Linked DNA regions of Xenopus tropicalis. The protein of the gene in region 1 binds, or shares a complex with, the protein of each later gene. Links are inferred from orthologs where the notes say so. Each region holds a gene or a part of one and is shown on either strand. Other genes may lie near its edges.

Region 1 (3,653 bases):
TAACAAAAAATTGCAGACCAGTTGTTGACAAGCACTACAAAAACACTTCAAATTAAGGTTTGAGAGTCACAGCTTTATATGCACATCTTATTTGCATTTTAGATAACATGATATGCACAAAGTTTCTTCTAAAAATCCTTTAGGGTAAGGACCCATGGAGCGGTTTCGTCGCCTGACTTCTATTGTTGCTGGTGGAAAGCTATTTCAGAGAGGATTGTTGCCCATGATAGCAGAGATCTATCACAGGCGACTGAACCTCTGTGGGTTCTTACCCTAAGGTTGAGGTTAATTTACCCAAAATGTTCTGTATGGACAGCGTTTATGTCATGGTACTATAGAACTGCAGGCTGCAGGCAGATAAGGATGATAAAGGAATACTGTCATGGGAAAACATGTTTTTTTTCAAAATGCATCTGTTAATAGAGCTTCTCCAGCAGAATCCTGCATTGAAATCCGTTTTTCAAAAACACAAACTTTTTTTATATTTAATTTTTAAGTTTTACATTGGGCTAGCCATATTCTTCATTTCCCAGAGTGCCACAGCCATGTGACCTGTGCTCTGATAAACTTCAGTCACACTTTACTGCTTAGCTGCTAGTTGGAGTGATATAACCCCCCTCCCAGCAGCCGATCAACAGAAAAATGGGAAGGTAGTAAGATAGCAGCTCCCAGTAGATATCAGAGTAGCACTCAATAGTTAGAAATACAAGTCTGGCTTGGGACTCCTCCAGTTACATGGGAGTAGGAGAAACAATAGGTTATCTGAAAGCAGTTCTAATGTGTAGCGCTGGCTCCTTCTGAAAACTCAGACTCAGGCACAATGCACTGAGATGACTGCCTACATGCCTATATTACAACTAGAAAAAAATACATTTGTTGGTTCAAGAATAACATTTTAAATGATAGTGAATTATTTGCTATGTAAAATTATTTTATTTTAATTTAAAAATAAAAAAGTACCATACCATAAAAATCATGACAAAATCCCTTTAAGCTTAGTCATTCTTTGCTCTGTAAGGTTGGTTTGTATAGGTCTACATTTACCCTCACAAAAGCCGGAGTAGCTGGATGCAAATTTGGCACATAATAAGGACTGCAGTTCACTCCTGTAGGAATGTGGAGGAAGTGCCACGGAATGTAAAAATTCAGCTGGATCTGAGACTGGCAGGGCAGGAATGCCTGGCATACATCTTGCAAAGATAAGAAGGCATATACAAAGCTGCATCTTTATCATGAACGGAGGAGACATTACAGATGAGAGAGTGCTGCTTGATCTTTTGTATATTCTTTGTTGTAATACCTTGTACTTTTATTGTGCAAACTGCATCTTATTTCAGGTACCAAGAAGGGTAGGACATGACATGCTGTTAACAGGTGCCCATTGTATTTTACAGCTTTCAAAAATGTTTATATAGAACTATGAAAAAGGTTCAGTTGCACAGAAGGTTTGGAATAGGCACATACTTTAAAAATCCTTTATTTTCTCCTTATTATGTTTTCTCTTTCTGACTTGCAGTTTCCGGGGAGCAGCGACAATTACCTTACAATCACAGGGCCAGGACACCCTTTTCTTACAGGGACAGAGGTATGTGAAATGATGTAGGATAAAGTCTACTGAATGGTGTTGACCTTGTTGGAATTTGCAGAAGGAACAATGTTGTAAGCTTTATGATTTGATCAAATAGGTATAAGCATATAAATATGAGGATTTTCACAAGAATTCCAAAAGATTGGTTTCTGATTTTGTCCCAGTGCCGTTGCTAACACAGCAAGAAAAATAGGCAATTATTTAACTGGTGTATCTCAAATGTACATTTTTAGGAAGATTAGAGATGTTCTGCTTTGTAATGCCTGACTGTTGGACCCTCCTTGCATTTTCATACCCTAAATCTAGTTAGTTTGCAGCATTTGCAGACCTGCAAGATGAAACAATATCTTTCTGCTAGTGAAATTTTACTCCGTTAACTCTTTGTCCATCTTTGAAACATAACCCATTTTGTCGGCTCGCAATTATTTTTTTAAATTATCTCTTTGCAGACTTTTCACACACCCAGCCTTGGGGATGAGGAGTTTGAGATTCCACCCATCTCTCTGGATTCTGATCCCTCCTTGGCTGTATCTGATGTAGTTGGTCACTTTGATGACCTTGGAGACCCTTCTGGAGTGCAGGATGAGGGTTTTGCTACACAATATGGTGTACAGACTTTGGACATGCCGGTTGAGATGACCCATGAAGTGATGGACCAAACTGGAGGGCTCCTTGGAGCTGGATTGGCTATGGTAAGGGTTTCCTGTCATTGCGCCAAATAAATTAACTAGAGAGGGGCACATTTACTCATGTAGATGCAAAACTACACCTGAGGACTAACTGATATCTTCACAAGCAAAAGGTTTAACTGCAAGGTTACACTATTACTAAGCTTGCCCTAAACAGTACTTATTTATTCATGAGGTGATATGGTGGTATTCTGTCTTAATAAGCTTAGGTATGCTACAGATATCACTGGAGGGAGTAATCTTGAGAGAGTTGTTTTCATGTTGTTTTAATTTTATTAGAGAGAGTTATATTTCCTTTGCAGTAATAGATATCTAACATATTGTTGCAACTGTTTGCACATTTTTTCTTAAAGCTCTATATTTTTATCCTCAAGCAGGTGGATTTTAATTTTTTTTTTAAAACAAGCAACTTTTTTCAACTTTTATTTCCTGCCCTCATTTTAGTTCTTTTTATTGCTTCACCAAAGGCTAAATTTAAATTGTTTAGTACAGTGTAAGGTGGCACTAATATCAGATTCCTCTTGGGAGTAAAACATGTGTACTCTCTCCCAGCTGTTACAGAACCTTGCTGCAAGCATAAGGTAAAACTAAAATTATGATGGTTAACAAATTTTTACATGTTATTCTGTTTTGCATACAGGACTTGGATCATCCCATAGTCACACCCTACAGTGCAAATCCTCCTGTCACCATAGATGTATCAATGACAGACATGTCATCTGGGATTCTGGGACACAGTCAGCTTACCACTATTGATCAATCAGAGCTGAGCTCCCAACTTGGTCTGAGCCTTGGTGGAGGGGCTATCCTGCATCCTGTCCAGTCTCCTGAGGACCATCTTTCCCCCACCCCATCACCAACAAGTTCTTTGCATGATGAAGATATGGAAGACTTCAGAAGGGTTAGCAGAAATTCACAATTCATATTTGTTGCTTGTGTTCTATCTGTATTAACTGTATTTCTTGTTTAGCATGATGTTTTAATAAACTTATGTTCCACAGATAACAGCCCCTAAAAACATAATTGTGGAGCAAGCCAAGAAGCCAAAAACTCCCAAGAAGAAAAAAAAGAAAGACCCAAATGAGCCACAGAAACCACTGTCTGCATATGCTCTGTTTTTCCGTGACACGCAAGCTGCCATCAAGGGGCAAAACCCCAATGCTACCTTCGGGGAGGTGTCAAAAATTGTGGCATCTATGTGGGACAGTCTAGGAGAGGAGCAAAAACAGGTGACTTGGTCGCTTCATTGATTTTTACAATGCATTGCTGTGTGTTTGTTCTAAAACTGCTTTAAAGGAACAGTAACACCAAAAAATGAAAGAGCTTTAAAGTAATAAAAATATAATGCACTGTTGCCCTGCACAGTGTAGCTGCTG
Region 2 (4,163 bases), on another chromosome or scaffold:
GCCAGAATCAATATGTATCACTGACAACTAGGGATGCACCGAATCCACTATACTGGGATTCAGTCGAACCCCGAATGCTTTTGTGAAAGATTCTGCCAAATACTGAACCAAATCCTAATTTGCATATGCAACCTAAGGAACAGAATGCACAAGAAAGAACCATGTGCAGCAAAACATTTTCTACTTCAGCTTATATGTGGCGAAAAGTCCCATGATTTTAAGGATTCTGATTCCGCCCAGGACTGAATCCTGGATTTGGTGCATCCCTACTGACAACAAGCTTTATTTTTCACAAATTACCACACAACCCAGTTTCAGGAAAACCAAAAGTCCAGTGTCGGACTCCTCCAGACTACAGGTGCATGGTGCTCCCCCAGCCCAGCACGACTGACAGATCCAGCCTGCATAGTTAAACTGGTGAGACCTGGACTAGAACTGTATTTGATTTTCTACTGAAGCTGCTTATTCTTCCTGCTTGTTGGAACCCCTAGGCCTGAGGATTTATGGGTTGTTGGAAAGGATGCACCATATCCAGAATTAGGTTTAGGATTCGGCCAAATCCAAGTACCTGGCTGAACCAAATCCTTAAAACTGTGATTTTTTTTGTCAAATGAACATGGAACTTGAACATTTTTAACCACGCGCTGCACGTGCGGTTCTCTCGAATCCTTCCATAGCCTTATGCAAAGTAGGATCCAAATTAGTTTCAGTATTCAGCCGAAACTTTCATTAAAGATTCAGGGTTTGGCCAAATCCCAGAATTTTGGATTCAGCACATCCATTGCTATTGATACCTTGACAAGTGGACAACGTTTCTTTATTAATAATAATTGCAGTAAGTTACACCAATTACCAGTATTTAGTCAAGGCCACAAAGAACACTGTTAAGAACACTGAACACTAGTCAGCCTTTGCGCATGGCTGCATTGTGAGCGTTGTAGCCAACAGCAGCTGGCGCACATTACATTGCCTACCACTGCTTCCCCATGGACAAATAGAGAATGTTGACACTTCAAAAAAAATACTTGAAAGCATGTATTCTCACTCTTTTACTGACTGATTGGGCGAACCCGAGAATGCTTCAGGACATTACGAGTATTCCTCGCACACCAGCCTGGAACGAGTTCTCTTGCCACAATCAACATGGCGACACCGTAAAACCACTTCCGCCATGGCGCCGTTCTGTAGGCGTTATCCTGCAGGACGTCGTTACGCATGACGCCAGAGACGTTTCCGTATTGCGTCTACCCCCTGAATCAGCCAATAGCACATGACGCTTTTCCAGGAGCGGGCTGTCTCCTTCCCGGCTTCAGAAATAACATGGCGGAGACAATGAGAATGTAGGAACGCGCGCGATCCGTATGCCCAAATGTCGCACAACTACCAGGCGCCGATAAGCTGGTGATCGGGAAGGAACGTATAAAGTAGCTTCTCTTAACTTTCGGGAGGGTAAATACTGCCATTCGTAAGGCCCGGGTCCTCCTGAAAACGTGGCTCGACTCGCAAGGAACTGCTCGTTCTGTCTGGCCTATTTCTAAAAGGTTGTTCATATATCTGATACTAGAGCCAGCTTTATATGCCCGCCCATGCTTATTGTACATTGACTAGTATAGCAAGTGCTTTACGGCAGATTAGCAGCCACATTGCCCGGGATCGCAGTAGGAACTGACAAAGTCCACAAGAATGAATATTATTTCCAATCAGCTACTCAGTATGTGTGTTTTACTAGTTTTAGCATTTCAAAGGAGGTGGTCCATGCCTTTCAGCATTCAGGGGGGGCGTTTGCACTAAGCCCCCAGCACTATAGGGCTCTGTTAGGACATTAATTTTGATAAAACCTTTAATATATGTTTCATCTTTTAAGGAATTCTATATATTGAAAACATTTTACATCAGAGATGTCCAGTCTCTGCCTTTCAGCTGCTGTTTAACTGCAGTCATGGTAGATGAGGGTTGCAGTTCATGAATTGGAGAATCACTACTAGTTGGAACACCAGAATTTCTTCAGTGATCAGGGCTCCCATTCCATCTATAAAGGGCAGTATTCCCCCATTTCCAGTTTGTTGGAACGTAAGCAAGTAATCCCGCCCATACACAAACCTAAATGGTGGTAAAGTTAGAGGTGATCCTTGCTCCTTCTGCTTTGGGTGCTTAACATTTGGCTAAACCATTTTATTCTCGCCTACAGTCCAGTATCTAGACCTCTGCCTTTTAAGACAAACACCGTTATGCCGTCAAGTATAAACACATTTTCTGTTTTCCGCTGAGTATACACATGAACCTCTGACATCACATGAAAGCTTGTTGAATTCCGCTGCACATTTAATGTAACTTTAATTATATTGCTGTATGTAGGCAGGCCTGGACTGTTAATCTGTGGATTTTTGCAAATGCCAGAGGGGCTGCTGTAAGTTACTATAGGCAGTCACCATTCAGTGAGCTGGTTGGGGACTGTTTGGGCCTATTTTGAGTCCCAGACTAGACCAGTATTTAGAAGTTCAGACTAATCTGTGGGAATCCATGCACTGCTTAATTAAACATTTGCATAAACAGAATTTTCTTGAGTAAAGGGGTCTGTGATAGCAGTTAAATGCTGTGAGAAATTGACCTATTAGGGTTAGGTGCTAGGAGCTTGAAGCTCTTTATGGGGTCATAATGATTATATGTATTGTGGTCTTTTGGGTATATAGAATGTGTTTTCCCACATTATTGACCTAGACTGCTTATTCTTCCTGCACAAGCCCATATTAAATGCCATGCAGAGGCTGTACAGACAGTGACTAGGGCAATATTCTAATATCATTAAAACTCTATGGGGAAATCTAGATGTGGCATTGTCTATTAGACCAGGAATCGGTAACTCATCTGCCTTAGAGATGCTGAACTGCAACTTCCAGTGTCCAGTCAAATGCTGTTGGGGTACTAGTGGTCTTTTGATAGACTCAGATTGCTTTTTAATGATGTACAAAGGCCAGTTTTTAACCATAAGACTAATCCAGAGGTCTGATGTAACTGGGAAATGAGCACTTACTTACTAACCCCCCTCATGTTCTTATGCACTACTGCAGAATATAGGATTTTGTCCCGATTTGAACAGTTTATATATAAGTGCCCACTTAATTATGTCCTAACAGCCATCTGGTTTTTTTTTTCTAGTTTCAAATTTCTTAACCATTCATCATTTCCCTTTTTGCAGGGGCCTGCTGTCCCAGCACATTGGGTCATCATGAAGCTCACCGATAATGTGCTCCGAAGTTTCCGTGTGGCAAAGGTCTTCCGGGAAAACTCTGATAAAATAAATTGCTTTGACTTTAGTCCAACTGGTGAAACAGTCATATCCAGCAGCGACGATGATTCAATTGTGCTTTATGATTGCCAGGAGGGGAAGTAAGTACATATGTGATATTTAAAATACCTTTTTATGTTGGGAACTAATGTCAGCAAACATATTTACCTGACTGAAGAGCTCACCCCTAAATGCTGTGTTTTCACTTTTGACTAATAAATCACAGGAGAACACCCCCCTTGAAAATATTTCCATGTGCTGGTCCTGTTTTGTATAGACACTGTTAAGGGTATCGTTCTCTTCCAGTACTGTAGCACAGGTAGACGAGACAGGGTATGCCTGCAGACATGGAAATTAGGGTACATGTTCACACTGGTTGGACAGCTCTGCCCTAACAAAACATAGGCTGAAAATGTCAGTAGTAAAGCACAGTAAAGCTGTATTGATTCACATTTACAGCAGCCCTATGCATAGTATGTTACACCCCAGTGATCCCCTCTGTACGTGCTCTTTTTTGTTCCACCCCTGTGAATAAGAATGCTATGATTGGCACATACACACATTGCGTAGTAAGCATAGAGTCAGTGTGTCAGTGATCCCCAACCAGTGGCTCGGGGCAACATGTTGCTCCCCAACCCCTGGGATGTTGCTCTCAGTGCCCCCAAACCAGGTAGTTATTTTGGAATTCCTGGCTTGGGGCAAGTTTTGGTTGAATAAAAACAAGATTTGCTACCAAATAAAGCCTCCTGTAAGCTGATAGTGTGCATAGAGTCTACCTAATAGCCAATCTTAGCCCTTATTTGGCATCTCCATGAACTTTTATGATGCTTGTGTTGTCTCTAAGTTTTTATACATTTGGCTGTGGCTCACGAGTAAG

Evidence for each region. The genes of interacting proteins can lie anywhere in the genome.
Region 2: tox4 (region 1) and wdr82 share a complex: the UniProt entries of both Homo sapiens proteins name them as parts of the PNUTS-PP1 phosphatase complex. The link is inferred for Xenopus tropicalis from reciprocal best matches to the Homo sapiens genes TOX4 and WDR82.

Annotation. Positions count from the first base shown.
Region 1 is NC_030677.2:141,986,885-141,990,537, reverse strand, and holds part of tox4 (TOX high mobility group box family member 4), read left to right. Parts: intron 1-1,516; coding exon 1,517-1,585; intron 1,586-2,037; coding exon 2,038-2,280; intron 2,281-2,917; coding exon 2,918-3,178; intron 3,179-3,278; coding exon 3,279-3,506; intron 3,507-3,653. UniProt on the Homo sapiens protein: Transcription factor that modulates cell fate reprogramming from the somatic state to the pluripotent and neuronal fate. In liver, controls the expression of hormone-regulated gluconeogenic genes such as G6PC1 and PCK1.
Region 2 is NC_030680.2:128,228,462-128,232,624, forward strand, and holds the start of wdr82 (WD repeat-containing protein 82), read left to right. Parts: upstream 1-1,333; 5' UTR 1,334-1,541; intron 1,542-3,196; 5' UTR 3,197-3,226; coding exon 3,227-3,387; intron 3,388-4,163. UniProt on the Homo sapiens protein: Regulatory component of the SET1/COMPASS complex implicated in the tethering of this complex to transcriptional start sites of active genes.